Caenorhabditis elegans: one gene and its partners. The protein of the gene in region 4 purifies or fractionates together with the protein of the main gene of each other region. This does not show direct contact. Each region holds a gene or a part of one and is shown on either strand. Other genes may lie near its edges.

Region 1 (7,748 bases), on a different chromosome or scaffold from region 4:
GAAATTCAGATTTTTCAGACTTTTCTCGGCTTTAATACACTGATTTTTGAGTTCCGCACCCTTGAATTATCCAAAAAATAAACATGTAAAAAAAGCAACAAAAATATTTCGACCACAGTGCGGACTCGAACCCCGGTGTGTATATTCTCAGTCGTGAATTTCTTCACTGCGCCATTTGGCCAAAAATTGTATTACCCAGACTCGACGTGATTTTTTTTGGCGAAAATACGGTAGCCCGGTCTCGACACGACAAATTTCGTTGAAAACGAGTAAAACGTGCGCCTTTAAAGTGTACTGTAATTTTAAATTTTCGTTGCTTTCATCGATTTTTTTTTGTATAATAGGTGTTCTGAGAAAAATAACATCAATGCACCATGAAGAATTTGAAATTACAGTACTATTTAAAGGCGCACAACTCTTCGAAATCAAAACATTCTTGTCGTGTCGAGACCGTGTTTTACGCAAAAATTGCCAAATTTCGTGTGTGAGTAATACTGCAGTTGGTTCATTTTAAGTACATTTCCTGGCAAATAATATTTCCAGGACCTTTCCGCACATCACACGGCTCCGACGATTGCACACCGTTTGATCGATGGAGCAGCGGCAGTCATTGTGTCGATGTAGGCATTCCATCCGGACATTTTTGTGTTTTGGAAGAGGTTGAAGCGGAGATTATACTGAAAAAATGAAAGATTTCAGATGGCTGGAAGGGTAATGAGAAATTATAATATGAAGAAAGAGCATAAAATCACTCAAAACCAGGCATTTATAGCTTGAAAATTACGATTTTTGATGCAAAATCTACAGAAATCGGTTGATTATTTGATTAATTCTATTGAAAATTGCATAAATATTGATTTGAAACGGTTTTTGAAGTCATTTTCAGACTTTTCGATAGGGAAAGCATTTTCCAATTGTTTATATTACGGTAGCACTAAGTTCTGAAAATGCGTATCGCACAACATATTTGACGCGCAAAATATCTCGAAGCGAAAACTACAGTAACTCGTTGAATGACTACTGTAGCCCTTTGTGTCGATTTACGGGTTTGGTTATCGAAATTAATCACTTTTCGAATTGTGTCAGCGATATTCGTAAATATTATTTTCCGTTTTTGGGAGTTTCCTTATGAAAAGGAAACCAGCATTGAAAAATAATCCAATACGAAAATAGAGCCCGTAAATCGACATACAGTAGTCATTTAAAGAATTACTGTAGTTTTCGTTACGACATATCTTGTGCGCCAAATACGTAATATTTTAATTATGAATTTAAAAAAGTTGAATTATCATACTGGAATGAGCAGTTTTTTCGGTTTTTGATTTTTCTAAAAATGAAATTTTTCGGAAAATCGAAAATTTTCCCTAAAAACATTGAAAAATCGAAAAACGGCACCCTTTTCTGAGACGAAAATTTATGATTTTCCGATATATAGAAAAATTCCATATTTTCGAAAAGCTTAAACTTTCGGCCATTTTTTCTTACGTACTCTTATGGGTTTTCTCATAAAAAATAATACGAAGACGCCGAAAAATAAAAATTTCCGCCATATCTCACTCCCACGGGTCTCGCCACGCTGGCAACAGGTTACTGTAAACCGACAGGAGTTACAGTAACCGTGTTGTCTGCCTAGCGAGACCCATTCGCGTAAGATATTGTGGAAAATTTCATTTGACAAATGTGATTACTTTTTAATTGTTTTTCCCTCATTTTCTAGACATCTTTTTCCGAGTTTTTTTTCTCTAAACGATTTTTGCAAACGATGATAAAAATCTGTAAAATGATTCTGACCAAAAAACCGCGCCGCACAATTGCAGTGTGGGCGTGGTTTCGAAAAAAACACGCGATAATTGCTCCGAGCACAAAACTCTTCTCTCACTCTCTTTCTCCGTCGATGGGAGATGAAAATGAAATAATCGAGAAGGCATTGAATTGGCAATGAATTTACTAGAAAACAAAACGGGGGAATACAATACATTATGATAAAGCTGAAAGTGAAATAAAAACTGTTTCTGTGTTTGCTCTGGGAATGGGAGTTTTGAGGGAAAGATTACGCGGAAGAAAACCGAATTTCATCGTTGTACTCGTAGAAATCAAGGTTTGGGAGAAGGGAGAAGGGGGAAGTTTGCAAAAAAAAAATAGAGAAAAGCGGGAATAAATACGAATCGAACAACAATCGATAGAGAGAGAAGTATTTAGTATCCAGCATTGTTGAGATAGGTTTGCATACTCTCGACAGCCTTGCGAACTTGTGCAGCAACTTCATTTGGTCCCTCGTAGACAGCAATCAAGACTGCAGACTTGGTCTTCACAGCGAAGAATCCAGTGTTCTCCTTTTTTCCGAAGATGAGCGATTCTTCGGTACGTGGAACGACGTAATGAACTCCTTCGATATCGGCTCCTTTTGCTGGAACTTGAGTGACGTCATTGAATAGGGCAACGAAGGTTTTGAGCTCTTCTTCGGATGCCTGGAAATTGGAAAAAATTAGAGAAGTTTTTGGACAGGAAATATTTCTTGTTAAAAAATTTGCGCTTTGAAATTTCCAAAAATTCGAAATTTTAAATCCAGTAACCCTAAAGTTAGCCTTTTTCCCCAATTTTCGCATTTTTAGGCCTCAAAACACTGAAATTTCCAAAAAAATCGGCTTATTCTTGGCCGAGATACTGGAAAATCACAAATTTCAGTCTGTGAATTTACATTTTGCAGGAAAAAATCTTCGAATTTTAATTTTTTTTTTAACGCTTTTTAACTCTAAATTTTCATGAAATTGAAAAATCTGAAAAAAAAAAGTTTAGAAAATTCCAGAGTAGGCAGGCTTCAGGCGGCTGAAATACAAGTAGGCTCTAATGTAGGTATCAGGCAGGCCACCTCGAAGGTAGTCAGGCAGGTAACTTGCCTGACCTTCAAGGTAGCCTAAGCCTGTCTGCTGCCTACTTGGGTTTCGAAGAAGTATAAACTATATGAGAAACAGGGGCTGGTAGGCAGGCACGGCCGCCTGAAGCCTGCCTAATCTGGAATTTTTTAATTTTGTTCGAAAAATAATGAAAATTTTGCAATTTTTGAGTGGATTTGCTAATTATTCCTGTAAAATGTAAATTCAGCGGCTAAAAATTTCGATTTTCAATTCAAAAAGTGAATAATTTCGCGAGATTTTCAGTTTTTTGGGTCAAAATGCGAAAATTCCAACAAAAATCGACCCCGCTAGCTCTTTTCAATCTCAAAAATGGGTCAATTTAAGGATTTTTCAATCGTTTCCAGTTTTAATCGATTTTTTCTCGAGCTTCTTCGATGATTTTCGTCCATTTCCATACCTTGAACACATTGTCAGCCTCAGTACGAGCCCAGACAGATCCATCAGCGGCTCCGACGATTGCACACCGTTTGATTGATGGAGCAGCGGCAGTCATTGTGTCGATGTAGGCATTCCATCCGGACATTTTTGTGTTTTGGAGGAGGTTGAAGCGGAGATTATACTGAAAAAATAAACATAAATTATGATTGAGATGGTTGGAGGGGTAATGAGAAATGATAATATGAAGAAAGAGCACAAATTAGGAGAAAAAGAGCATAAAATCGCTTGAAAATTACGGTTTTTGTAAACAATCGATTATTTTTTGATTTACTGCGCAAAAAATGGAATTTTAATGCCGAAATACCCAAAAATTGATATTTCCGCAGATTTTTTGCTTATCTGTGGTGTAAGTTGGTGGCGAAGAACTTGCGAATGGATAAAATGACAAAAACCAACAAAATCTCACTAAATTCACAATTTTCTCGCCAATGTAGTGCAAAAATTGAGCTTCTTTCATGAATTTCTTGGAAATTTTCTGTGAATTGAGCCGATTTAAACCAAAATTGGCATTTTACCTAGAGTTGACCAATTTTCGATGATTTTCAGACCATTTTCAGGCCAAAAAGGCGGAATTGAAGCTCGAAAACACCGAAAACTACCAAAAACTACGAAAATAGTAAATATTTCGAGTTTCAGATGTAGAAAACTTGGAAAAATTCAGCTTTTGGAAGATCTCGCCTCGAGAAATTAGGACCAACTTAAGGGAGAATTCTTTTTAAAAAAGCAACGTTTTGAGGCGAATTTTCAACTACTAGAGGATTTGAACTATCTAGAGCAATCTGAGAATTTAATTTCACAAGAAAAATGGCATAAAATCGCCAGATGACCCAAAATTGAGAGAAATTAAAGAAAACTTCCAATTTCAAATTCCGAAAGATGAAAATTGCTACGAAAACTAGAGGACATCTTTGACCACCCGGAACACTCCATCTAATTGGCTGGGCAAATGGAGAAGCAGTGAATGACAGTGAGGAAAAGCAATAGAGAGAAGAAGAGAAAGAGAATGTTTGCATGCCATCTGGTGCTCTCCTTCTTCCCCTTTTCAACCCGAACAACGAGCTTGTGCTCCTGCTCCTGCCTGCTTGCTCCGCTGGTCAGTTATTCACCCATAAAGGACGAAAAGAGAGACAGAGACCGCCCATCAAATTGAATGTGTGTGTACTACTAAAAGAGGGTGAAATAACCCGCCTCAATCCATACTAATGTCAAATGCAGTTGCAATTTATATTGAACACACAGACCCAGAGACACAACCAAAGCCAATGATGAATCATTTTGAAGAGAACACAGCGAAGACGACGGAGGAGAAAGAGAACCAAAAGGCGATAGAAGACGAGTTGCGAAACAATTCAATTTGAACAAAGCTTTCTAGCTTTGAAAATTGCGAAATTGAGCGCTGAAAATGGATCTTAATGCCGAGAATGACCAGTGGATTGCGAAATTGGAATGGTGAGTCACATGGAACAGCAGGTCGCCAAAAATCGTCGAGGAAGCTTCAAGTTGTTATAATATTCGCAGTTTTTTCTGCCAAGGAGATCTGAAAGTCATTTAGAAGAAAAAAAATACATCAAAATGCTCAAAAATCATAAAAATATTCGAAATTTTGATGATCGAAGCCCCAAAAAAGTCACGAAATAGTCAAAAGAGCCGCGAAAAACAGAAATTTCGTAGCATTGGCCGGATTTTTCTATAAATATTGCAGAAAACCCGAAGATTTTGTCAGTAAATCGAACGAATAAACTCCAGAAAGCGGAAAATGGGGAAAATGGGGAAAATTTTACATTTTTCTACAAAACACTCACTGTGAGCTGAAATTTCATCAAAAAAAATAGGAAAATTGAGAGTTTTCTAGTCGAAATCTTACGCTATGTGATAATTTTTATAGCTTTTTTATTTTTCTCGATTCACGACGTTATCGGATGCCGAAAATTGATAAAAAACTCTTTCTGAATCACCTATTTCCGCTCCTTCCTTACAGTTTTAAAGCAAGAATGGAACGAACTGAACTTTCCGGAAGAAAATAGGGTGGAAATCAGGAAAATTAGCGAATATTTGCTAGAGAATGAGGAAAATATATTCTGGCAATAACCGAGACAAAACGCGGAAAAAACTGCTGGAAATATCAATTTTGGGAGAAAACGCGAGAATTTTGTGAAAAACCTGCGGAAAATCGGTAAAAACGTCACAAAACCGGCCAAAAAAGTGGAAAAATGAAGAAATTGTCATCCTCTTCGACCAGTTCTCGAAAAACACGACGAAAATTGGCGGGCAGATCAAAAAATTGAGGTCAAAAATCTTTTTTCGCGATCAGAAAATTTTGCGCGTCAAATGGAATGCATCGTACGCAACTCTGCGTACTTAGGCGACTACCGTACTCTTAGCTAAATTCTGCTCAATTTTCGCTGGCTTTTGCCAATTTCTAGTGGAAAAACGTCGGAAAAACTGAAAAATCAATTTTGGAGACAAAAAAGAGGAGATTTTTCAAGAAAAGATGTGTAAAAATGGCGAATTTCAATGATTTTTAAACCATCCCACTGGGCGGAGGAATCTGAAATGATAAAAATAACTATGAATCATCGAAGGGGAGGCGTCTTCCGCCTCTCGTCTTGTGTATTTCTAATGAACAGGAGGCCTGAATTGTTTCGAAAATGGAGAACAGATGGTCTTCTGAGAAAGACGGGCGCTACGCAAGGATCGCCCGCGCACACAATTACGAATGAATTGTGAGGCAAAAAAGTGAAAAAGAAAAGAATAAAAGAGTAAAATTGGCAAGGTAATCGGAGATTTCGACTTCAAGGACACACAAACGCCACGTCAACACGCACAGAGAAAAACCATTTTGTTTTTAAAGATTAAATAATTTATGCTACTTAGATAGGAAGAAATATTTAGTTTACAGAGAAAATTAAGGGGGGAAAAAGAAAGAAAACTTGGAATCATTAAAAAAAATTGATATCATTTATGGAGAGGTTGCACACGGCAGCTGCTAAAACGGAGCTGCAAACGGAGACGGGCAGCTTAGTTGACTCCGAGAAGCTCGACCTCGAAGACGAGAGTTGCGTTGGCTGGGATTTGTGGTGGAACTCCGCGTGGTCCATAGCCAAGATCGGCAGAGATGGTGAGCTTCGACTTCTCACCAACTGACATCTGAAAGAAAAGTTGATTTTTTATATTGAAATTGAGCTAATCGATGGACAAACCTGGGCGACTCCTTGGTCCCATCCCTTGATGACCTCTCCCTTTCCAATCTTGAACTTGAATGGAGTTCCGCGGTCGCGAGAAGAGTCGATCTTCTTTCCGTTCTCAAGGGTGAGCACGTAGTGGCAGGTGACGGTCTGACCGTTCTTTGGCTTGGTGACGTTGTCGCCCTCGACGAGAATCTGTCTGTCGACGCCCATTCTTGCTAAAAGAGGAAATATTAAGATTTATAACTCAGAAATAAAGAGAAAATGGCAAAGAAAAGGAAGAAATTGTTCAAGGGCGAGTTCAAGTTGTTTTTAGGCCAAAATAACAATTATTTTTCAAAAATCGATAATTCTGCCTCGAAAATAAGGTTGCTTTTCTGATTTTCAGTTGATTTACTGATTTTCTTGATAGAAAACTCCAGAAGAATGGCCTAAAACAGGAAAAAACCGGCAAAGTAAACAAAAATCTGATGACCAGAGTTTTAGCCGATTTTAGGCCAAAATAACACTGAATTTTCGAAGAACAACTATTTGTCATTGAAAAGTGGGCGTCTGACATGATTTTTTCGATAAGAAACTCTGAAAAATGACCAAAAATCGGTGAAAAACAAGCAAAAATGGGTTGTTTACGAGGCGAGAGTAAAATCGAACAAGGCGCGACACTGTTCGTGGCGAGATATCGCTGCCGCGAAATTGCATGCGCCTTTAAGGTAAGTGTCTGCGTCTCTTCAGAGAAATTTGTTCTTTCTCGGAAATCGTTGAAAATGAGTTCTCTCGATAGAAATAAATAAAAAAACAAGGAAATTAATAAAATTTCAAAGCATTTTAATTAAAAATTGAAATTTATGGCAATCGTGTCAACAACAAGTGAACAAAAATTAATACCATAGTTTTGATTTTAAACATTTTTCTCCTGGCTACGGTAGTTCATAAAGTACGCAGCATGTATCCAATTCGTTTTATTTTACGCTGGGATTCCTGCTGGCAATTTGCCTTTTTCAAAGCCAAAAGCCGGAGCAATCGTGAGCTTCGACTTCTCTTTGACTGACATCTGAAAGAAAATTGAATTTTTATATTGAAATTGAGCTAATCGATGTACAAACCTGGGCGACTCCTTGGTCCCATCCCTTGATGACCTCTCCCTTTCCAATCTTGAACTTGAATGGAGTTTCGCGGTCGCGAGAAGAGTCGATCTTCGTTCCGTCCACAA
Region 2 (8,890 bases), on a different chromosome or scaffold from region 4:
ATCGTAAAAATTTGGAATTTTTTAGAAAATCTAAAGTGCAAATTTTACTAATTTTTATGTTAAAAAGCTATGATTGAAGTTATACTCCATTTTATTTCTCATAAGGTCACAATTTTTTTTCTCAACAACTGTGATTGTCTACTAACTTTGGGTACTTCAAAATTGCTACAGTATATCAAAAATCGCGAAAAACTAGAAAACTGGTGATCACAGTTCTTTAATGTTTATTTTTTTACTTTTTCATGTAAAAATAAAGTCTAAAATCAGAACTGAATAATGTAGAGCCATTTTTGGAAATTACCGAAAATTTTGAAATTTCCTACCTAGCGAAACTTGCGCGTAGGATATGTTGTTTTCCGTGCCGATTTTATTATGAATTTAGTTTCGAACGGAGCAACTCTATGTCAACAGTAGAATATCGTGCTTTTTCAATGCAAAAAAAATCCGAAAATTCTAAACTTTCCTATCAAGTCCTCCCTCCCCCACTTGCATCATCTAACCCCGTCATATCGTTCATTAGACCTACCGCCCATTCCTCCTCTCTTCCTTCAGAAAATGGCCGAATGGTGTGCCGATCATTTGCGCAATTGCGAAGGCTGGAAGTCGGCTGGTCTGGAACTATCAACTACGAGTGATGAGAATGCGAAATGGTTGGATGCCTGCATTCGACAGCTTGTGTCCTGGTCGGATTGCACCAGTTTAGGCGGATTTCATACATCGATCGAGAAGCTTGTGGCTTCGGATCCTGAAGCAAGTTAGTTTGTTTTTTGTTTAGCACTTGGAGTCTCTGAATTTTCAGTTATGGCCCGAACTTTCCTAGTGGGCCTCTCCGGGCTCGGCACAGAAGCCGCTGCTCGAAATGTCGAATTTGCCAAGAAAATGGATCAACTAGAAATTGACGCTGAAAAGTATGGAAACGCCAGAGAAAAGCGACATGCCAAAGCAGCGATTTTGTGGGGAAGAGGGTAAGGGCTCCTTTAGGAGATATTTTTTTGAAACTTTCCTGTTTTTCAGAAAGCATCATGAAGCTGCCATCGAGTGGGACAAGCTTCTAGATGATTACCCAACAGATTTAATTGCAGTGAAGTTCTCACACGATGCTCATTTCTTCAATGGAAATCAGATAGGGAAGAAGAACGCAATTGAGAAGGTTATCCACAAGTGGAATGCAGATTTACCATGCTATAGGTGAGATTTAATTGTTTCTATTTTCGAAATATTTTAGTCTCTAAAATTGGTTTCATTTTAAAATAGCGCCATCTACAACAAGAAAACTGTCCTAGTAAGCGCTGCGTTCAGATTTTCCGAATTTCAAAAAACCAATGCGTCTAGAGTGGGATTTGAATCCATCTAAATAAAAGAGGTTATGGTTCATAAGGTCTAGGAGTTCAAGCTAGGTTCAGGCCTATTCACAACTAAATATGAAAATTAAAACAAAAATAACTAAATAGGTTTTATATCTACATGCTTCGAAACCGGCTTCTATCCCCAACATTTTTTTTCTTTAGCTATCTCCATGGCATGTATGCTTTTGGCCTTGAAGAATGTGGTATCTACGATGATGCTGAAACACAAGCAGATCGGGCCCTACAACTGAACCGATTTGATTGCTGGGCTTCCCACGCAAAGGCTCACGTCCTCGAGATGAACGGGCGGCACAAAGAGGGAAAAGAGTTTATGTACAAAACGGAGGATGATTGGAGGGTACTTTTCAATCTATTCAATTAATTGTAAATATACTTCCCCTTTCAGCAAGGTTGGATGCTAGCCTCTCACAACTACTGGCACACGGCACTATTTCACATTGAGTACGCAGAATATGAGTCAGCGCTGGGGATTTTTGATCGAGAAATTGCGAATCGATTCAACAAAACCAACTCCTTGCTAGACATGGTTGATGCCAGCTCACTGCTGTGGAGGTTAGAACTGGAAGGTGTCAATGTTGGAAGGGATCGGTGGAGGAAGATAGAGCATCTGTCGAAGTTCATCGACAATCACTCAATTGTGTTCAATGATGTGCACCTAGGGCTTGCAATTTATAGACAGGAGGATTTGGAGACGGAGAAGAAGTTGAGAAATTCATTGGAGAAGTATTCATCGTGAGTAACACTATCCAGTTCGCCTTATCCGAAAAGAGAGAAGCTACAAATCTATGAAAGATTTTGACATGTTGTATGTACTTGGTAGGCATGTGGTGTCGAGCTGTCCCATTTCGATTTGATTTACGTAGATCTACGAGAATTGCGGGAATTTAGACGCAGACGTCTTTGCTGATTTCGCATGATAAAGAACCTGCTGACGTCACATTTTTTAGGGAAAATTTCCCGCATTTTTTGTAGATCAAACCGTGATTGGCGAAAATTTAAAAACGTTGTATCGAAAGGTGTTAGGATATGTGGAATTAGATGTGATAATCAGCTCCTAGGTCAAACTTACCACATATCAAACTATCATTTTTCAGGCTGCTATCCGAGGACAATGCCCAAATCAGCAAGACCATCGGGATGCCCCTCTACGACGGGATGCTTGACTTTGCCCGCTGCGACTACGACACAGCTGCCGAGACTATGTACCCAATTCGCGATAAAGTTGTCCAAATCGGAGGATCTCATGCCCAGCGGGACCTTTTCGTTCAGACACTGATACAGTCTTGCATTCTGAGCAAGGATCCCAAGAATTGGGCTTTGACGCCTGAGCTGCTGGTGGAGAGGGAGACCCTGAAGCATGACTCGCTGTTGGGCCAGAGGCTTGCTGATAAGTTTAGAGCTTTACATCCGCTGTGAGTTGGTGGAGAGTTTAAGTTATATTAACTTTATTTATTTTTAATTATCATATTTTTTATACACAATAAAGCAAGTTATTACAATAAAAAGTACATTTAATTTCTTTTAATTTCAAGAAAGTTTAGATATGAGAGCGAGCCTGTTTCTGGATGAGTGCCTTGACACGAGCTCCAAAATCTGGATGAACCTTTGAAAAGTGATCGATCATTCCCTTAATAATGAAATCATGACATTCCCCGAGCGGCCCTGCAAAGTTCTGGCACATTCTCTCCCGAGCCCCGGTATCCAACACCTTCTCCCAGAATTGACGGGGTTGATCATAGTTGTTGTCATCTCCACTTTCATAACGATCAACATCTCCAGTGGCTGGGAATGTGGTATCCTTGACATCCGGACGAGTCTTTCCATAGTTGAAGCTGTTCGGGAAGAAGTTTGGAGCATGTTGCTGATTGTCATAAGCCATTGCACCATCACGCTGGGTGTTATGAGCACGGGAGCGGTACGGGCAGTTGACTGGAAGCTGGATGTAGTTTGGTCCAAGGCGGTGGAAATGAGTGTCGGTGTACGAGAAGATACGTCCTTGGAGCATCTTGTCTGGCGAGAACTCGATTCCTGGGACGATGTGGGCCGGGCAGAAGGCGGATTGTTCAACCTGGAAATAAAGTACTGTAGGATTACTGTAGTTTTGGAAAAACGTTTTTGTGTTTCCCAAAACTAGCTATTCACGTTGAACTCACGTGGTGTCAGAGTGTCTCATTTCGGCTTGATCTACTTTGATCTACAAAAAATGCGGGAGAAGAGACGCAAGGTTTTCAACTGATTTCGCATGGTTAAGAACTTGCTGAAGTCTCATTTTTTGTGCAAAAAAAATTCCCGCATTTTTTGTTGATAAAAAAAAAACAAACCATAATGGGACAGTCTGGCACCACGTGAGAGCTATCAATTCCGTCTTATGGGCCCTAGTTTCTCGTTAGAGCGCAATTGCATGCCTTACCACACTTCACACGGTAGCACAGAAACTAGATGGCTTGGTTCATGATAATCAGTCTAAAAACCTGTATTGGCTGCTATCTCGAAAACTAACCCAAATTTGGATTTTGCGATGCATATGAAAAATGGCCGCAAGAAAATTTACTCGTTCGGTAGAGCACGTTTGCACTCACCTAGCTTCTGTACCACCCTGACTCGAATAGTAATAGTTGTGGTGAATGAGAAGAACCTGCTCTCTTTCTGTGGTAACCCCAAAAAACTTTGGCTCTGTACAGTACCAAAACACAATCCTACGAGACTACCGTACCGCAAGCTCTCCGGTATAGAAACAGTCCGAGTAGAAAAGGGACCGACTAGGCCACCTTAGCGCGCAACTAGGCGGTCAAGCCCAGCCCATTACCTCAGCGAAGTAGTTCCTTGGATTTCTGTTCAGCACCATCTTGCCGACCTCGATCAGTGGGTAATCACCGTGTGGCCAAACTTTAGTGACATCAAATGGATTGAACTCCCATTTCTCAGCTTGTTCGAATGTCATCACTTGAATGAACATCTTCCATACTGGAAAGTCTCCCTTCTCAATAGCATTGAACAGGTCACGGATGGAATAGTCTGGGTCCGAAGAGGCAAGTTGACCGGCCTTCTCCACGGTGAGATTCTTCACTCCTTGAGTTGGCTGAAGTTGGAAATTATAGACCGAAAAATTTAAATAACATTAAGGACCCACCTTGAAATGGAATTTCACATAGATAGCCTTTCCGTCCTTGTTAACCATCTTGAATGTATGGGATCCGTATCCATTCATATGACGGTACCCATCTGGGAGTCCTCGATCGGAAAACAGGAACATCACTTGATGCAAAGCCTCTGGTCTATGAAGCCAGAAGTCAAAGATCATGTTGGGATCCTTCAGGTGAGTCTGTGGATTACGCTTCTGGGTATGGATAAAGTTCGGGAAGTGGATAGGGTCACGGATGAAGAAGATCGGAGTGTTATTTCCAACCAGATCCCAGTTTCCCTCCTCGGTGTAGAACTTGATCGCAAATCCACGTGGATCACGAGCGGTGTCGGCGGATCCGCTCTCACCACCGACTGTAGAGAATCTAATTAGCAGTGGGGTCTGCTTCCCGACCTTGTTGAAGATATCGGCCTTACAGTACTTGGAGATGTCATGGGTGACCTCGAAGTATCCATGGGCTCCGGCTCCCTTGGCATGAACGACACGCTCGGGGATACGTTCACGATCGAAATGAGCCATCTCATCCATATAAACTACATCTTGCATGAGCATTGGGCCACGCCGCCCGGCGGTGAGCACGGCGGTCTTCGAGTAGATCGGAGCTCCATTTGAAGTTGTGATCACTTGGGGTTTCTGAAACAAGTTACTGTAAATAGTAGTTGTTGTTGTAGAAAATGCGTCTGTGCCTTTAAACTCTAAACTCACTGGATACGTCTCCTTGTAGGTTTTCAGTTGATTATCCGATGGATCGTTTGGCATTTTGGTTCTGAAATTTTAGTTAGGAAATTTAGAATTAAATAAAACTCTGAACAAAAAAATGACCACGACGAGGTGTAATACGGAATATGGGTTGGGAGAGACAAGAGAAACAGAGAAAAAAGAAAGAAGATTGTAGCGTTATCACTGATAAGGAACATGTTGTTGGACACCAGACTACGGCATAGTCTCGCTTATTTTGGACAGGCAAAAAAGTAGGGGGAAAGACAAAAATTAGGTAGGTATTGATTATGGGTCAGGGTATACGGGGAATGGATTGATCTACAAATCTACAGATCTACAAAAAATGCGGGAGAATAGACGCAGAGTTTTCAACTGATTTCGCATGGTTGAGAACGTGCTGACGTCACATTTTTCTGGACGAAAAATTCCCGCATTTTTCATAGATCAAAGCGTAATGGGACAACCTGGCACTACGTGGAAAAGTGGTACCTGTACGCAATTTGTCTACCGTATACCTGAACTTTTGGGCTTGTCGTTTTTATCAAAAACGAGTGGCCCAATATTTTTGTGATGTATATAAAAAATGTCCGAAAAAAATAAACTCTAAATTTTTTGGTCCAAAGCTTTTTTCTTATCTTGCGCCTAAACCTGGTTAAACTCAAATTATCAGTAGAGCGCATTTGCATGGATGTACCACTAGCCGGGCCGCGGGGTGTTGCTGTATGGTGCATATGTGCAAACACCATAACTTACGCGCAAATTTGACAAACTTACTGTCAAAAAGGCGCGCTATAAATAAGCAATATATTGACTATTTTGAATTTTAAAAACAAAAAATAATCCAAAGTTGTCCACGAGCAGTACACAGCGGCTTGTAGAAGTATTGCGCGTCAAATATGGTGCATCGAAAAATGATCATATTTTACGCTCAATTTTCACTTCTACCGAACTGATTATTGATGTTTTCCGGCGATTCTTATACTCCCAGTCGCGGTGCTCTGTACAAGAGATGATGACGTCACATGTTTATGATAAGCGATAAGGGAAACCCAAAAATAAAATAAAGTGTTGTGTCGGTCTCGCAGCGATGAAATTGTTGACCAAATTTTGCAATGTTTTCACCAAAAACTACGGTACCCGGTCTCGAAACGACAAATACTGTAACTTTAAACTTTCGTTGACGCGGATTTTTTATCGATTTTTTTTTTAATTTTGTGTTTTTATTGTTATATTTGAGTTGTTTTCATCGAAAAAATATAAAAAATCGATAAAAACTCCACAGCGACAAAAGTTTGCAACTACAGTACTCTTTAAAGGCGCACATATTTTCGCAATAGATAAAAAACTGTCGTTTCGAGACCCGATACCGTAATTTTGGCGCGAAAATTGCTTTTACAGTCTAACTTAAGTTTTCATCTTTAAAAATTGACTGAAACAAAAAATTTTCCAGATTTTCTTCAAACAGGAAAATGATGACGTCACGTGGCCAATTTTCTGCCTGATAAAACGCTATTTAATTTCCGGCTTTTTTGATTTATGTGCACATAAAATTTCTTATCATCAAAAACCAGAAGAAATACAAAAAAAAGAGTTTATAAATAACGAGATTCTATATACAAAAGTTTGAATATCAAACAATTTAATGCTTCTTCTGGCAGAGCTGATGGCGAAGAGCATTTCCGAAATCCGGATGAACTTTCGTGAACTCTTTGACCATTCCATTTTGAATTTCCTCCAAACAGCCACCCAAATCACTAGCCAAATTCCCAACGAGCCGATCTCTCTCCTCCTCCTTGAGCACTTTCTCCCAGAACTGACGTGGCTGCTCGTAGTTGTGATCGTCTCCAGTCTCATAACGATCAACATCTCCAGTCGTCTGAAATGTCGACTCCTTCACATCATCACGAGTACGGTATCCGCGGAAACTGTTCGGGAAGTAATTCGGCGCATCTCCCTGGCTTTCATAAGCCATTGCACCATCGCGTTGAGTGGTATGAGCACGGGAGCGGTACGGGCAGTTGACTGGAAGCTGAATGTAGTTTGGTCCAAGGCGATGGTAATGCGTGTCCGTGTAGGAGAAGATACGCCCTTGGAGCATCTTGTCTGGCGAGAACTCGATTCCTGGGACGATGTGGGCCGGGCAGAAGGCGGCTTGTTCGACCTGAAAACCAAAATAAAAAATATTTTTACTCCACCTTTAAAGCTAGACGTAAAATGCAATTTTTATTGTTCCTATTAGGTCTCCAAATAAGTTCCGGGTCAAAAATCAGAACTTTTTTTGCCTTTTATAGATTTTTTTGAAACTTTGGGAATTTATGTTATCAACTATGACCTTTCATTTTGAAATGGTCACAAAATTTTTTGACCACCCGGAGCGCCCTAACTCGGAGCCATTTTTTTCAGGCATTTTTCAGATCTCGCTTCTTTTCAGGTTTCAATTGAGGTTTGTGTGCGGATTTTGCTTAGTTTAGTACACAATGTAAGAAAACAAAAAAAGTTTGGAAAAAATCCGTCCAAAAAAATTTTTTTTGTCGGTCGTCAAAAAATCTTCAAAAAAATTTTTTTTCGAAAATTCTCGATTTTTTATACAAGAATGATGTAACCATGTGCAAACTATTTTTACACATACAAAACATTTGAGTATGAAATTTGGATCTCGAGAAATACTCCAAGAACTCGAAAATTTTTCGAAAAAGCTGTGTTTTCTGTTATTGTTTTAGTGTGACGCAATAAATTGAAATGTTTTGTATGTGTAAAAATAGTTTGCACATGGTTACATCATTTTTGTATAAAAAATCGAGAATTTTCGAAAAAAAAATTTTTTGAAGATTTTTTGACGACCGACAAAAAAAATTTTTTTGGACGGATTTTTTCCAAACTTTTTGTTTTCTTACATTGTGTACTAAACTAAGCAAAATCCGCACACAAACCTCAATTGAAACCTGAAAAGAAGCGAGATCTGAAAAATGCCTGAAAAAATTGGCTCCGAGTTAGGGCACTTCGGACGGCCAAAAAATTTTGTGACTATTGTCAAATGAAAGATCATAGTTGATAACGTAAATTCCTACAGTTTCATAAAAATCGATACACAGCGAACAAAGTTATGATTTTTGACCCGGAACTTATTTGGAGACCTAATATTAAAAAAAACTAATTCATCTTCACACCACTTGCCTCAGCGAAATAATTCTTCACATTCCTGTTCAGCACCATCTTGCCGACCTCGATCAGTGGGTAATCACCGTGTGGCCAAACTTTAGTGACATCAAATGGATTGAACTCCCATTTCTCAGCTTGTTCGAATGTCATCACTTGAATGAACATCTTCCATTCCGGGAAATTTCTTGACTCAATGGCATTGAACAGGTCGCGGATCGCATAGTCTGGATCCGAAGAGGCGAGCTTTCCAGCGTCAGTTGGATCGAGATTCTTGGAACCTTGAGCAGGCTGAAAAATAGAAAATGAAAATTTAATTCTAGTCCCCGTCTCTCTTAGGCTTACCTTGAAATGGAATTTACAATAAATCGGATTTCCCTCCTTGTTGACCATCTTGAAAGTATGCGCTCCGTATCCATTCATAAAACGGAATCCATCAGGAATTCCACGATCCGAGTAGAGGAACATCACCTGATGAATGGATTCAGGGCGATTCATCCAGAAA
Region 3 (7,783 bases), on a different chromosome or scaffold from region 4:
ACATCGTGGGGAGAGCAGGGATATATGAAGTTGGCAAGAGATGTTAATGCATGTGCAATGGCAACTACAATTGCAGTTCTTACCGAGTTTGTATAATTTTGAGAATTGTTATTACGATAAGAATGAATATTTATCTACAGCGCGGGCTTCTGACTTCCTTTATATTTTGATATAGATCTCACTTAAAATTAAATTTTTCAGAATTTTTCTTCGGGTACTTGTTTCAAATTTTTGCTGTTTTTTATTTTCTTTTTCTCTTTCTGAATTTATATACCAAATTTTTTAAGTACCAGTAGCTTCCAGTTCAATCATAAAATCTGAATTTTCAGGCATAAGTTTGACCGTACTTTTCAAGATGTACCATAACCAATCATTTAGTTTTCATAATTTTAAAAATTTATATCTCAAATTAACTTTTTTCAGAATGTTTTTCCGGAGAACACCCAATATTTTTTAAACTTTACCATTTATGTACTTGGCGCGGATAAAAAATTTCGTCTTCTCATGTGGTGTCATAATGTCCCATTACGGTTTCATCTACGTTTTGATCTACTCCCATCTACAAAAAATGCGGGAGTAGAGTTCTCAAATGATTTTGCATGGTTAAGAACGTGCTCACGTACAAAAAATGTCGCATTTTATTGTGGATCAAACAGTGATGAGACAGCCTGACACCAGATGTCTTCCTAGGTTCTTGGCAGCAAAACAGTAAATCTAGGCCACCAACATTTTTTCTAGGCCACCACCATTTTTTTCTTGTCCCAGTTTATTGGTTTTTCAAACAAAATCTTTATAGAAACCACAAAAGTAATTTATTTACAAAATTATGCACACAAAAAATCTATCAACAAAAAAAATCACCCTGAAATGTATGGAAAAAAGAAAGAAAAATAGATGAAATTGCAATTTTTACACGATTTTTTAAGATTAAAATGAAATTTTAAGAAAAAAATTGATTTTTTTAATTTTTATCGACAACCGTCGCCTCGTCGACACTGTTTTCCACGACCAGCATCACTTCCGAATCAGGCGAATCCACGTGGATTTTCACAAACTTCCGAATATCTTCGATCACCTGCGGCTGTTTGATTTTTGAGTCGACGTTGTAGAATCTGGAAAGAAAATCAATAATTTTTGAAGTAAAATCAATGAATAATCGATAATTAATCGAAAAGATCGAAATTTTTTTTCAAAATATCGATAATTATCGAGAAATCCGATAATTTCTTTAAAAAATCGATAATTTTTAAAAAGAAAATTCAGTAATTTCTCATAGAAATCATCAATTTTTTGGAAGAATCGGTGATTCTTGAAGAAAAAAAATCGATAATTCTAACTTCCGAATTTATCGATTTTTCGGCAACTCACATTCCATTTTTCTGAATAACTGCAAACCAATGTCGTCCCCTGTACAATGTGAGGAGGGTCCGTGATGGAATATTAAAAACCACTGCTTTCACATTTTCCATATTGATTTTTTCGACTGAAACACGCTTGTCGAACCACATTACCTGGAAAAAATCGATAATTATTGATTTTTCGAAGATGCGGAAGATCGGAGCATCGTTGTTGTTCACCTTTAAATCGTGTTTTTGAAGCGCCGCCATCAGGATATTCGCATCGTAATTTCCGGTTCCTATCCAGGATCTGAAAAAAAATTGTTGAAATTTGATTTTTGAAAAAATAAATAATTTTTCCATTTTTTCAAGAAATTATCGATTTTTCCGGAAATTATCGATTTTTTTCAAGAAATTATCGGTTTTTCCAGAAATTATCGATTTTTCCAGAAATTATCGATTTTTCCGGAAATTATCGATTTTTCCGGAAATTATCAATTTTTCCAGAAATTATTGATTTTTCCAGAAATTATCGATTTTTCCAGAAATTATCGATTTTTCCGGAAATTATCGATTTTTCCGGAAATTATCAATTTTTCCAGAAATTATTGATTTTTCCAGAAATTATCGATTTTTCCGGAAATTATCGATTTTTCAGGAAATTATCAATTTTTCTGAAATTATCGATTTTTCCAGAAATTATCGATTTTTCCGGAAATTATCGAGTTTTCCGGAAATTATCGATTTTTCCGGAAATTATCAGTTTTTTCTGAAATTATCGATTTTTCCAGAAATTATCGATTTTTCCGGAAATTATCAATTTTTCTGAAATTATCGATTTTTCCAGAAATTATCGATTTTTCCGGAAATTATCGATTTTTCCGGAAATTATCAATTTTTTCTGAAATTATCGATTTTTCCAGAAATTATCGATTTTTCCAGAAATTATCGATTTTTCCGGAAATTATCGATTTTTCAGGAAACTATCGATTTTTCCGGAAATTATCGATTTTTCCGGAAATTATCGATTTTTCCGGAAATTATCGATTTTTCCAGAAATAATCGATTTTTCCGGAAATTATCGATTTTTCCGGAAATTATCAATTTTTCGGCGTACCTATGTGGATTAAACCATTTACTCTCATTAAACGCATAGCAAATTTCGTCCATTTTTGTCGGATCAAATTCGGATTTTTGTAGAATATTGTTAACCGTATGGATAAGGCAGTATTGAAGACGTTGCTTTTCGTGATAAATTTCTGGTGATGACGTCATCTGGAATATAAATCTAATTGGGGTATTGGATGCTGAAATTTTTTCTATTTTTAAAATGTCGTCGAAATCGTAAATATTTTTTTTGCAGTTTATCGATTTTCTTCTGGAAAAAAATCGATAAAATATTGATTTTTATTCAAAAATTTCATGAAAATTATCGATTTTCTATGACTAAATTATTAACTTTTGTGCGAAACAAAATCGAATTTTATTTGAAAATCGAAATTCGAATTTAGTATTGATTTTTCAGAAAATTTATTCAAAATATCGATTTTTCCTTTTTTTTAATTCAAAAAAAAATCAAAAATCAATTAAAAAAAATTAAGCATAAAATAGGGCACATCCTCTTTTTGAAAAAAAATCAAAAAATCAAAAAATCCATCACCAAATCCTTTATATAAACTGAACAAAATTTTTTTTTTAAATAACAAAAACCATAACCCCAATTCAAAAAATCGTCTAAATATCACAACAAAATGGCGGAATTTTCAGCACAATAAATAGCCAAAAAATCGATAATTTAGTCTTCCTCAGTGAAAAAGTCCTTGACGAGATGCTTATTGGCAATTTGTCTCTCCAAAAGACGTTTTGCCTTGTTTCCAACTTCCAAAAGTGTCGGAATACATGTCAATTTGAGTGTTGGATCAGTACGGAATCCGACAGCTGGGTCACGCCATCTGAAAATTTGGAAATTTAGAGATTTTTTGCAATTTTTTTCAAAATAATTTTTTCCGAAAATTTTTTCTTTGAGAATTTTTCAAAATTTTGACACAGTATTTCGTAATTTCATTGATTTTTTTTTCAAAAAAATTGATTTTTTATAATTTTATAGATTTTTCGTAATTTTATAGATTTTTCATAATTTTATTGATTTTTTCTTTTAAAAAAAATTGATTTTTTATAATTTCATTGATTTTTTATAATTTTATTGATTTTTTCCAGAAAAAATTGATTTTTTTTATGATTTTATTGATTTTTTCTTTAAAAAATTGGTTTTTTTAAATAATTTTATTGATGTTTCTTTAAAAAACAATTGATTTTTTATAATTTTATTGATTTTTTCTTTAAAAAAATTTATTTTTTATAATTTTATTGATTTTTTCTAAAAAAAATTGATTTTTTTTGGAAAAAATCAATAAAATTATAAAAAAATGAATTTTTCCAAAAAAAAAAATGATTTGTCGTAATTTTATTGATTTAAAAATAATTGATTTTTTATAATTTCATTGATTTTTTATAATTTCATTGATTTTTTATAATTTTATTGATTTTTTATAATTTTATTGATTTTTTATATTTTTATTGATTTTTTTTTTCAAAAAATTGATTTTTCGTAATGTTATCGACTTTTTCCAAAAAAAATTTGATTTTTATAATTTTATTGATTTTTTATAATTTTTTGATTTTTTAATAATTTTATTGATTTTTCGTAATTTTATTGATTTTTTCCAAAAAATATTGATTTTTCGTAATTTTATCGATTTTTTTTTACAAAAATCCACGAACACTTCACGATTTCCGACGAAAACAGTGACAAAATGGACATCGAGTCCGGCGACGGCGGCGTCCTTGATCACTTCTTCGACAACTGGCTCAGCTGAAATTCAAATATATTATTTTTTTAATTTATAGGCAGGCGTGAGGTGAGCAGTAGGTAGGCATAGGTATGCGGTAGGCAAAGGCAGGCACACCGTAGGTAGGCATGTAGACTGTAGATAGGTGAGTAGGTAAGCACAGAAGCGGCAGAGGCTGTTAGCAGATAGGTACGCAGGGGATGAGCTAGGCGGGTAGGTAGGCAGGTAGGTAGGCCATCAAAATCTCGTACCAACAACACAATCCGGGCACCAAGACTCTCCGGTTGTCAGAATTTTGGATCCAGTGAACAGAGCGACGACTCGTTTTCCTTTTCCAATCGATTTCAGTGTCTCCTGAAATGCTTCGTATCCCTGAGCAGTGTAGTGTTTCAGTCCGGTCATCTGGAGAAAAAATTCATGAAATTTTCAAATTTACCACAAATTTTCAACAAAAAAATATTCGGAAGAGACATGAAAATCCTTTAAAAAACCCGAAAAATGATAGGATTTTATTTTTTTTTCTGCACTTTTGCACAAAATTTTTGAGCCATATTCCAAAATTCAAATTTTAAAATTTTTTTCTGAAAATTGGAAAGAAAAATTTTAATTTTCCCAAAATTTTCAGTGTTTTTAGGAATTTCTTATCGAAAAATTGAGAAAAAAAAACTATAAAATATTGAAAATATTTATTACGGGAACTCAAAATTTTGAGAATGCGTATTTCACAACATATTTGACGCGCAAAATATCTCGTAGCGAAAACTACAGTAATCCTTTAAATGACTACTGTAGCGCGCGGTTGTGTCGATTTACGGGATCTCGATTCTGTTAAATGAGTTGAATCATTTATTTATCGAGTTCCCGTAAATTGACACAACCGAGCTACAGTAGTCATTTAAAGGATTACTGTAGTTTTCGCTACGAGATATAGTTATATTTTGCGCGTCAAATATGTTGTGAAATACGCATTCTCAAAATTTTGAGTTCCCGTAATAAATATTTTCAATAGTTTATAGTTTTTTTTTCTCAATTTTTCGATAAGAAATTTCTAGAAACACTGAAAAATTTTGCGAAATTTAGAATTAATTTGCGGCAAAATTCATATTTTCGAAAAAAAATTAAAAAATCAAATTTCAATTTTTTTTCTAGAAAATTTTAGAGAAAAAAATAATAAAGTAAATAAAATCTTCGGAATTTCAAAAACCGATAAAAAGCAACAAAAAAAATTAATAAAAAAATTCAAAAATCCCCAATAATTTATTCCATTCAAAACAAGGTAATCTATTTAAGCAATCTCTTGAGCTCAGGCTTCGTCGATGCATATTCATTGATTGTAACACGGGCAGTTGCTCCAATTCCAACACGAACAGCAGTTCTAGACAACCAATGAGCATTCGAATGGATTCCATCACAAATTCCACGCATTTTCTTCACTTTTAGAAGAGATGAGCACAAAAGAATGACAGTTATAAAGCTGAATGTTATTGGAACAATTGAAATCAGCACAATCCATGAACTCATTTGCTCGAATTTCTGCAAAAAAAAAGAGGTTTCGGGGGGTTTTTACCTACGCCTGCCTTATGCCTAAACCTTTTGCTTTTGAAAATACGAAAAAAAAACGGAAAATTGGCGAAAAATGGCTGCCTACTCGCGTGCCTACCATTAAATCAATTAGTATTTCTTAACTTTTACTTGGAAAAAAAAACGAAAAAATCGTTGCCTACCTGGCGCCTACAAGCGTGCCTACTAGAAAGTTGGTATAAAATCACATTTAAAAAAAAACAATCACATCACATTTGCCCACCTGCAAGGCGACCAACGCCTATTGGTTCGGCGTACCTGCAGGCAGATAGTTAGGGCCTGGTAGGTTGGTTTCGGTAAAAAAAAAGCCATACCTCAGCACATCCGTCGACCATTTTGTTTCCCGTTCCTTTTTGTGCAAAAAACGTGTGAAGAACAGGAGAAAATAATAAAGAAATGATTGAAAATTGGACGGGGGATAACTATTTTCAAAATTTCGAGAAAAAAAAAACGTAAAATTTTAAAGAAATGAGAACAGCCACGCGGCACAACAACAACAACAAGAAAAGTGGAGAAAAATCAATAAAATTAACGAAAAAAAAAACAACGTGAAGCAGAAGAAATGCCTGCCTACGCCTGTAGGCAGGCAGGTAGGTAGGCACCGATTAATCTCTCCATTCAACGTGAACCTGATCCGTTCTATATCGCTGGGTGGTTGTGGTTTTACGAAGGTCGAAACGCATTCCGGAGGCTGAAATTGACTTAAAATTACAATTTTTGGGATAAAATTATGTCAAAAATCGCGAATTTTTGCATTTTTCGGTTAATTTTTTAGTCAAAATGCGATTTTCAGATAAAAATAAGTGAAAAAATTGATTATTAATGCAATTTTCGAATGAAAATCCTGGTTTTTTCAGTGAAAAATCGATTTTCCAGGTGAAAATAAGTGAGAAAATTGACTTTTAATGCAATTTTCAGACAAAATCCCTTGTTTTTTCAGCGAAAAAATCGATTTTTCAGGTGAAAATTCGCAATTTCTTCAATAAAACACACACTGCATACCCAACATGAGCTCGCCGGCTCTTGCAATCATTGCACCGTTATCAATACAGAATCGTTCATCAGTTGCAAATAAGTGAGCACCTCTTTCCGCACACATTGCTGATGCCATTTCCTGGAAGAAAATCGGTCAGAAATTCGATGATTTTTCCAGTAAAAATATTCAAATTTTTGAACTCAGCGCGGCGCCGAGACCTTCAATTTGACACCCAACAATTGGGTCTCGCAACGAAATATCGATTTTCCGACTAAAAAAACTTAATTTCAAAGTATTTTTCGCAAAAAATCAAAGGGAATTATTTATTGCCTCTTTTCAATTTCTTGTACGAGAAAAATTCAACACTCAAATAGTCAAGACGTGGGCGGAGCCTATTTTCGAAAAGTCGATATGTGGGCGGAGCTTGCTTTCAGTAAGTCAAGGTAGGGGCGGAGCCTATTTTAACAAAAAAACCAAAGTTTGGGCGGAGCCTATTTTCGAAAAGTCGAGAGGTGGGCGGAGCCATTAAAAAGTCGAGATGTGGGCGGAGCTTGTTTTCAGTAAGTCAAGGTTGGGGCGGAGCCTATTTTAACAAAAAAAACCAAAGTTTGGGCGGAGCCATTAAAAAGTCGAGATGTGGGCGGAGCTTGTTTTCAGTAAGTCAAGATAGGGGCGGAGCCTATCTTCGAAAAGTCAATATGTGGGCGGAGCCTATTTTCGAAGTCAAGATGTGGGCGGAGCCTTTTTTCGAAAATTCAAGATGTAGGCGGAGCCTATTCTCGAAAATGCGAGAGGTGGGCGGTGCCTATTTTCGAAAAGTCGAGATGTGGGCGGAGCTTGCTTTCTGTAAGTCAAGGTAGGGGCGGGGCTTATTTAAAAAAAAAAAAAAACCAAGATTCGGGCGGAGCCTATATTCGGGCGATTTCCACTCCGGAGATTCGAATTCCACGAAATATTATTTTGCTGTTTTGGCGAATTCACATCTCCAGAAATTAAAATTCCTAAGATAGGCTCCGCCCACTTCTTGGTTTCCCATTTTT
Region 4 (7,373 bases):
GAGACATTTGATAGATGAAAAGAAGTTTCTCTGGATAACAGACAACAAAAACTGTGAACACATGCTGTGGCGCGCAATTCCCCGTGGATTTACGTATTGGTGATTCTCACGCGTAATATTAAAGACAAGGCATTTTTTTTAAAAATGAGATGCATGACTTTCATAGTTAGTATTTTTACATTTTATTTGAAAATGCATAAAGTTCCAAATTAAAAAGTTAAACACCAATTAAAAAATTTGTTTCAATTATCTTCAGAAATAAATGTTTTCGACGCATTTTTCAACAGTTTCATTATGAATTTTGCAGCTTTAAGATTAAGTTTTGGTATTTTGAAATCCGAAATTCTAATTGGAGTTTGGAATCTCAACTATTCTCTAGTTCTGAGTTACTTTATGATCTTCTTATTTAAGGTTTCAAATATTTGTGGTCTACCACCCAAACAAATGATTTTCGAGCACAAAGTCACAAAATATGAGCATGACAAGGCCGTCGTCTTATTTACTTTTGTTTATAATACATTCTCAACCTATCTGCGTCTTCTTCCTCGGTTCAAATATATAATAGTTTGTGAAAAATTGAAACTTCACTCGTCAACTATTTGATTCGAATAGTATGTCTCGCTTCACTGATAAAGTTGCTATCATTACTGGTAAGTTCAACATTTTTCAATATTTAATCAAATGAAAAGTTTAAGGTTCATCCAATGGAATTGGTCAGGCAACAGCTCGTCTTCTTGCTTCCGAAGGAGCAAAGGTTACTGTAACTGGAAGAAATGCTGAGAGACTTGAAGAGACGAAGAATATTTTATTGGGTGCTGGTGTTCCAGAAGGAAATGTTCTTGTGGTTGTCGGAGATATCACCCAAGAAAGTGTTCAAGAAAACCTGATCAAGTCAACTTTGGATAAATTTGGAAAAATCGATATTTTGGTTAATAATGCTGGAGCTGGAATTCCAGATGCTCAAGGCAAAAGTGGAGTGAATCAATCAATTGACACATATCATAAAACATTTGAATTAAACGTGCAAAGTGTAATTGAAATGACACAAAAAGCACGCCCACATCTCGCAAAAACTCAAGGAGAAATCGTAAATATTTCTAGCATTGGAGCTGGACCAGCTGCTGTGAGTTTGTTGTATACGTTTAACTTAAATATAACTGTAACTGATTTCAGCAAGTAGCATCTCCATATTACTCAATTGCAAAAGCTGCATTAGATCAATATACTCGTACAGCTGCTATCGATCTTGTTCCTGAAGGGATTCGAGTTAACTCCGTGAGCCCTGGAGCTGTATCTACTGGATTTTCAGCTGTTTCGAGAGGTCTGACAGAGGAAAAATCAAAAGCTGTAATTATTTCTTCTAAAATAATGTAAAATCTAATATCATTTCAGTTCTACGATTATCTCGGTGCTCAACGGGAATGCATTCCACGTGGATTTTGTGCAGTACCAGAAGATATTGCAAAAGTGATTGCCTTCCTTGCCGATCGAAACGCTTCCAATTATATTATTGGTCAAACAATTGTTGCCGACGGAGGAACTTCACTCATTCTCGGAGCTCATGCTCACGGGGCTAAAATGATGCAAGCTGTTTTCAAAGAACTTTGACTTGTTCAACTAATTGCAATATATTAAAAGTTTAAATGTTAATTTTTTGAGTTTCTGAAAAAGAACATCGTTATTTAATTAGCCTGTTTAAAATCTGCAGGCAGAATACAAACCACTGGACAAGAAAATGCTGGGACTGCATCTAAATTACCCTAACTCTTGACAATGTCATCCAAACTAAAAAAAACAGAAGGTTTTGGGTAAACTGTTTCAAAAACTTTGATCAAACTTGCACAAGGCTCGGATTCTGTTTCAATTTTTGTTTCAGTGGCTTGCATCAACGACAACAAATTATACATAGTATACAGGACCTACTCTTCTTTCTGATCACTGAATTAGTTTTATGGTTTTTGCCAATAAAAATTTACTCCAAATTTCAAAAAAAAAATTTTTCATCAAAATCAAACATCCCAATTTTTTAAACTTTACAAATTGACTCATTTATGTTTAAAAAATAATATAAACACAAAAAATTGATAATCACCGTTCAAAATTTGACTGAAATTCTAGTTTTAAAAAAATCTTTGAAAAAAAGCAAATCGTGGGCCTGGAGCCCGTTTGACAAATTCAATGACAGGTTTGGAGTCGGCGCCAAAAGACGTGATAATTTCTGTGAACAACACTGTGAGAAAACTGGAGCAATACAAGTGAAAGCAAAAAAATTCAGATTAGGAGCTCATATTTATTATGACATACAGAAAAATTCAAAAAAATACAAAATTTACTAATTTAGTTACATCCCTTATCTCCCCATGCACTGATATCCTTCTCAAAGTAATGAAGATGATCATCGATTGATGTAGTGATCCAGAGCCCATCAGAGCATCCGTTATCTTCATCACCGTTGCAGATAGTAAATTTTGCACCGCTCTTCATATTCTCACGGTAATAGACCTCATACTTGTTGTGGTAATATCCCATAAAGTCCTCATTTGGAACGTGTGGAACAACATCACGGTTATGTGTGACACGATAAGAGAATGCAAGTTGATTATCGTGAGCATGAGCATAATCCTTGTTTCCGGTACGTGGTTCTCCGTAGGTGACAAGTTTCACACGGGATCCATCAACCATTTTTGTTCCGATGACGTAAGATGCTGCGAGCGAAGCGAGTGATCCTCCGAGAGAGTGTCCAGACACCTGAACATTTTTTAATCATATAATTTAATAACTATTTGATTTCCATTTTTATTGACGTAACAAAAAGAGCAAATATTCTTATCAAAGTCATCAACTCACCCAAACTTCATATCCAGGGTTTGCGGCCAGAAGAGTTGCAAAGTCATCCTTCATTCCAGCAGCCCAAACTTTTGTGAAAGCATCTCCAAAATATTTAGATACTTTTCCTCCGGCGATCCAAGACATTTGTGATTCAAAGACACTCTTGTTAGCCTCAGAAATCAATTGGAAAAATCCTTGAGTTCCACGGAAACTTATTACAATTGCCTTATCGTTATGAAGAACAGCAGTGTATCCAGAGCACACATCGTTGCTCACTAAAGCACAGTTCTTCACATAAATTTGACGTTGAAGCTTAGCGTTTGTGAATTTAGAGTCAAGGCAATGTTGTGGATTAGAGGAATATGCAGCTGAAGCAAGAGCAAGCATTTGAGTTCTGGCAAATGCATCTGTGTAACTGGCTAGCACTGAAAATGTATGATGTGAGAGAGTCAGTGCCAAATTATTCGGAACTTACTAGAAGCTGGGAGGACAAGACCATAGGCGGTGTAAACCACGCAGAGAAGCGTGAAGAGTTTCAGCATTTCGGGGAGAATGAAGAAGACAAACTGACAATGTCAGATAAGTGGGACGAGTTTTTGTACTTGCCGTGATAAGGAAGTATTATGTGAAGAATGATTAGGAGGTTTAGAGACAGCTCTTTTCTCTTATCAGACGGAAAGGAAAACCGGCATGCTGCACACATTTCGTTGGAGAGATCACGAACGTGTGATGGAAAGTTTAAGCGGTTGTGAGTTCCGTTACCAAATTGATCTTAAAATTTTTTGAAATAAGAATTTTTAATGACGACACATTTTGTTTGCATAGTTAAAGTTTATATGGACATAAAACAATTGAGATCAAAGTGATAGTGATGAATTTCAACCCTTTTTATTCTTCTTACGGTCGATGAACTGCATAAAGAATTTGAAGAACATTTGTTAGAAGTTGGTCTCGGAGACGTAAATTGTACGTGGTATTTTCGTATGGCTTCAGTTTTTCAAGTACGTCCTTATTTCTCACCCACCATTTTCCCATATTTACATCTCGATAGTGCCTGAAATAAAACACTGTGATGGCTCAACATATGTAGTTTATAAGTGTTAGTATTTGGTGTTCGCACAGCCTACATAGATTTACGAATTGCTCATTTTCTCTTTTTAGTTAATTTGTTCAGACCTCAACCAAAACTATGAAAACGTCTTGTACTTCAACACATAGGTTCTGAATAAAACCTTTTTATTCAGAAACTACATTTTATTATTAGTACTTATCAAAAGGGAATGTTCCCGTAACTCCAACCACACCTATAGAGTGGATAATGTCCCCATTCTTCCATCCTCCACAGTCCGCGATTTAGGTCTTATCACGGATTTTAAATTAAACTTTGAACCTCATATTATAAAAATTAGCTGCCTAGCCATGCTAAGGGCTAAGCAAATTCTCAAAGCGTTCTCCTCTAACTCCCATAAGTTTTATAGCCACTTATTTAAAACATACGTTGCCCCCATCATAAACTATTGCTCTGAGATCTACTCCCCTTCCCCCAACTCCTCACTCTCTGCCATACTTGAAAAACCGCTTAGGACCTTCACCAAACGCGTCCTGCAAAGGTGCAACGTTAAATTCACCTCTTACGAAAACAGACTGTGCATCATGGAACTATTCTCCACCAGACACACAAGAATTAAAGCTCAAATGAAACTATTATATAGACTTCTTACCGGTTCTACTCATTTCTCTAAATTAACTCAGTTTGTCAAGTTCTCTAATTCCAATAGGAGACCCATGATTCTGGTTAGGAAAGACACATGCACCTCTCATTTCTTTGCCAAATCCATTCCTATTTGGAACAATCTTGTCAAAAATATACCGGTATTTCTCTCCCCCTATCAGTTTTCAAACTTTCTCGATCTCAATATTCCCCGGTATTAACTTTTCTCCGCTGGTTCTCTTTGACTTCTAATTGATCTCTTCTACCACATTACCCTCTCTCTCCTTTCCCGTCCCAAACTCGAGACGTACTCTTTCTGGGTTAGTCTCGTTTTACCGTTTTATTTAACACTCAAAATTCAATTGTACAGTTGTAAATTGCATTAGTTATGTTAAATAAATCAAATCAAATTCAATGTTCCTAACCGTTCTCTTAAAGGAGCACTAACGTACTATTTTAAATTTATAGATTTAAAATGTGCTCGAATAAACGAATTTCGTAATGAAACTTCTCAGAATAATTTTAAAACTTTTTTACGGCGTTGCAAAATCCAAAATTAAGCTAATTTTCAAATTTATTCTAAACTTATTCTAAACTAAGTTAGTATTAATGAAAATATTGAAAAAATTTGTTTTAATACCTTATATATCCAATTTTCGGATCAAGAATCAAAGTCTGATAATTCCCATTATACTCTCCGACGTCATGAATCATCATTTGTAATACTTTTTGATTATTCACTATCATTTTTGAGAAGCAATGTTTTCCATCTGTACAGTTGAGCCATGGTTGAGTTGTAAGTTCCCATTTCCTTGACGGCATTTCTTGCATTATCTGAAAACAGAATGAGCGATTTCATTTACAAAAATCTGTACTCTTTCAATACCTGTACTGGATTAATAAACTTTTCAGGCAGCTTTTCATATTTGAATATCCAACGCTGTGGGAACATAACTCCTCCATACTTCTCACTGACTGAATCTTGTAAAAAATTTCGAATAGTTGTCTTGCTATCAGTCAAAATGATTCTCTCGTCAATGTCGGAAAAGATTGTCCAATTGGCTGATAATTGGTTTCGCAAGTGACAGTCCTGAAAATATCTGAATTTTCTTGAATTTTAGGACTGTATTTCCCCCATTAATCACACTAGCATTATTTTGAGTTTACAACATCTTGGTTGGCTTTGGAGTTCAAAAAAAGTGTAAAATTGGTATGTTGAATAATTTGTTTATATTTAAACAGTTGAACTGATCTTATAGAAAAATACGGTAGTTGCTTACCGCAATTGCTAGATACTGTTGAGAGACTGCATCAAAGTAGATTGAAGGAATATGAATAATTTCAACTTCATCTCGAAATGCCATATAGTGTTGAAGAACTGACATATCATACAATTCGATTTCTCGGATGTAAAAGTAAAACTTGGTGACACCCTGAAAAGTAAAAATTTGACAAAGCGAGACAAAAATTTTATGCCTGAAATAAACATAATCAGTTTTGAAAAAAAATCGACTCGGTACATGTACGAGGTAAATGAATGCCTCTTTAATAGCAGGTAAAATGGTTGTTTTAAAAACTTTAACGTAAAAACTTAATATAAATAAACTAAGCTATCTATGCAAAATTTTAAGCAAACCTGTAATTTATAATGCTCGATCATTTCTACCAGATGCATCCATTTCGGTTCTTGTCCAAATAAAGGAGCCGAACAATGAGTCAACATTCTTTTGTAACTTGCTGAAAAATAATCGAATTACACATTTTGTATTGATGAAATATTTCAAACCATTCCATCGAGTAACAATCATCTGAAATTGTTCCAGCACTACTCCATTTGGTCCATCTGTTATTGCAACTTTATGAGTTTCTGAAGATTTTCGATCACAAATCACAACAAATAACGGATAAATAAAGCTTTTCATTGGCTTTTCATGTTCTTTTCCGTTTTTGTCGAAATATCGGCAGTACACTGTATAACTGTAATTGAGTATCGTTTGCTAAATAATTATATGCAATAATTAATTATTACCCAATAGGTTTTAATGCAGCAACAGACACTGATATTTGGGTTTCAGATTCATATGCTCCAATCAACATTGGTGGGTAGGCATCTTTATATTTTTGAATATGAGTTAAATAAATTGAAGAAATACCAAAATTACTAGAAACGAAATCATAGTTGAACACTTCAATTGAATAAAGCACTGATAAAATGACAAAAAATAAAAGAATGAAGAAAATATAAAGCTTCGACTGAATATCACAATTCATTTTCATTTTTCAGAAATCAAAATGATACAGACAATATTTGAAATGTATAAATTGATATTTGTTCAAGGCAATGTGCTCTCCTATTTGTCACATTATTTGTTAGAACAGGTGACGGCTATCCGCCAGCGTCCCTCTTGTGCGATCCTGTCTATGATTTTATTAATGTATTTGATAAAAATTACTTTTAAAAATTTGTAATTGCTTTTGCAATTTGCATTATTTTCTCACAAGACTTAATGGAACTAGGAAAAAATATCAGACAATTTTGATAATACATCAAAAATTTATTTAAGAAATGTGAACACATTTTATAGTCAAGTAAAAACATTTAAGCGTTAATTTAAAAAGTAATATTCAATCCTCTTTCTTCTTCTTTCCATGCTTTTGTTTCGGTTTTCTATTAATTCTCATCGGGAACAGACGGTAGAGGAAATTAGGAAGAAGAAGATTTTTTCGGAAAAACCAAATAAATTCCATGAAGATTGCGATCACAAAACACCCTCCGATCAAGTAGTAGGTGGCTTAAAAACATATTTAAAAAGGTTACATTTTTGATAACTTA

The links.
Region 1: the proteins of F28H7.3 (region 4) and pfn-1 fractionate together in Caenorhabditis elegans (co-fractionation; one large-scale study listed by BioGRID). This does not show direct contact.
Region 2: the proteins of F28H7.3 (region 4) and ctl-2 fractionate together in Caenorhabditis elegans (co-fractionation; one large-scale study listed by BioGRID). This does not show direct contact.
Region 3: the proteins of F28H7.3 (region 4) and txdc-17 fractionate together in Caenorhabditis elegans (co-fractionation; one large-scale study listed by BioGRID). This does not show direct contact.

Annotation. Positions count from the first base shown.
Region 1 is NC_003279.8:12,917,730-12,925,477, reverse strand, and holds pfn-1 (Profilin-1), read right to left. Parts: upstream 3,475-7,748; 5' UTR 3,439-3,474; coding exon 3,313-3,438; intron 2,469-3,312; coding exon 2,196-2,468; 3' UTR 1,930-2,195; downstream 1-1,929. Other genes in the region: fkb-2 (peptidylprolyl isomerase), read right to left, coding at 6,372-6,500, 6,554-6,751; fkb-8 (peptidylprolyl isomerase), read right to left, coding at 7,503-7,589, 7,642-7,748. UniProt on the Caenorhabditis elegans protein: Binds to actin and affects the structure of the cytoskeleton. At high concentrations, profilin prevents the polymerization of actin, whereas it enhances it at low concentrations. By binding to PIP2, it inhibits the formation of IP3 and DG.
Region 2 is NC_003280.10:14,296,753-14,305,642, forward strand, and holds ctl-2 (Peroxisomal catalase 1), read right to left. Parts: upstream 5,276-8,890; 5' UTR 5,269-5,275; coding exon 5,215-5,268; intron 5,143-5,214; coding exon 4,498-5,142; intron 4,447-4,497; coding exon 4,174-4,446; intron 3,436-4,173; coding exon 2,905-3,435; 3' UTR 2,804-2,904; downstream 1-2,803. Other genes in the region: Y54G11A.7 (Tetratricopeptide repeat protein 38), read left to right, coding at 556-754, 800-965, 1,015-1,188, 1,509-1,704, 1,753-2,099, 2,462-2,783; ctl-1 (Catalase-2), read right to left, coding at 6,869-7,390, 8,404-8,676, 8,731-8,890.
Region 3 is NC_003281.10:2,831,468-2,839,250, reverse strand, and holds txdc-17 (Thioredoxin domain-containing protein 17), read right to left. Parts: upstream 4,589-7,783; coding exon 4,438-4,588; intron 4,210-4,437; coding exon 4,119-4,209; intron 3,290-4,118; coding exon 3,133-3,289; 3' UTR 2,990-3,132; downstream 1-2,989. Other genes in the region: Y71H2AR.2 (Peptidase C1A papain C-terminal domain-containing protein), read left to right, coding at 1-96; josd-1 (ubiquitinyl hydrolase 1), read right to left, coding at 962-1,112, 1,369-1,511, 1,578-1,647, 2,455-2,612; Y71H2AM.29 (G_PROTEIN_RECEP_F1_2 domain-containing protein), read right to left, coding at 5,468-5,719, 6,082-6,102; Y71H2AM.1 (N(6)-L-threonylcarbamoyladenine synthase), read right to left, coding at 6,373-6,458, 6,770-6,881.
Region 4 is NC_003283.11:10,747,331-10,754,703, forward strand, and holds F28H7.3 (Fungal lipase-type domain-containing protein), read right to left. Parts: upstream 3,459-7,373; 5' UTR 3,372-3,458; coding exon 3,305-3,371; intron 3,255-3,304; coding exon 2,848-3,254; intron 2,749-2,847; coding exon 2,338-2,748; 3' UTR 2,275-2,337; downstream 1-2,274. Other genes in the region: Thioredoxin reductase-like selenoprotein T homolog selt-1.2, read right to left, coding at 1-7; F28H7.2 (DeHydrogenases, Short chain), read left to right, coding at 614-650, 696-1,123, 1,174-1,347, 1,393-1,608; gtnt-24 (Glycosyltransferase family 92 protein), read right to left, coding at 3,727-3,883, 5,181-5,374, 5,427-5,630, 5,821-5,973, 6,177-6,277, 6,327-6,517, 6,570-6,817; irld-6 (Receptor L-domain domain-containing protein), read right to left, coding at 7,166-7,332.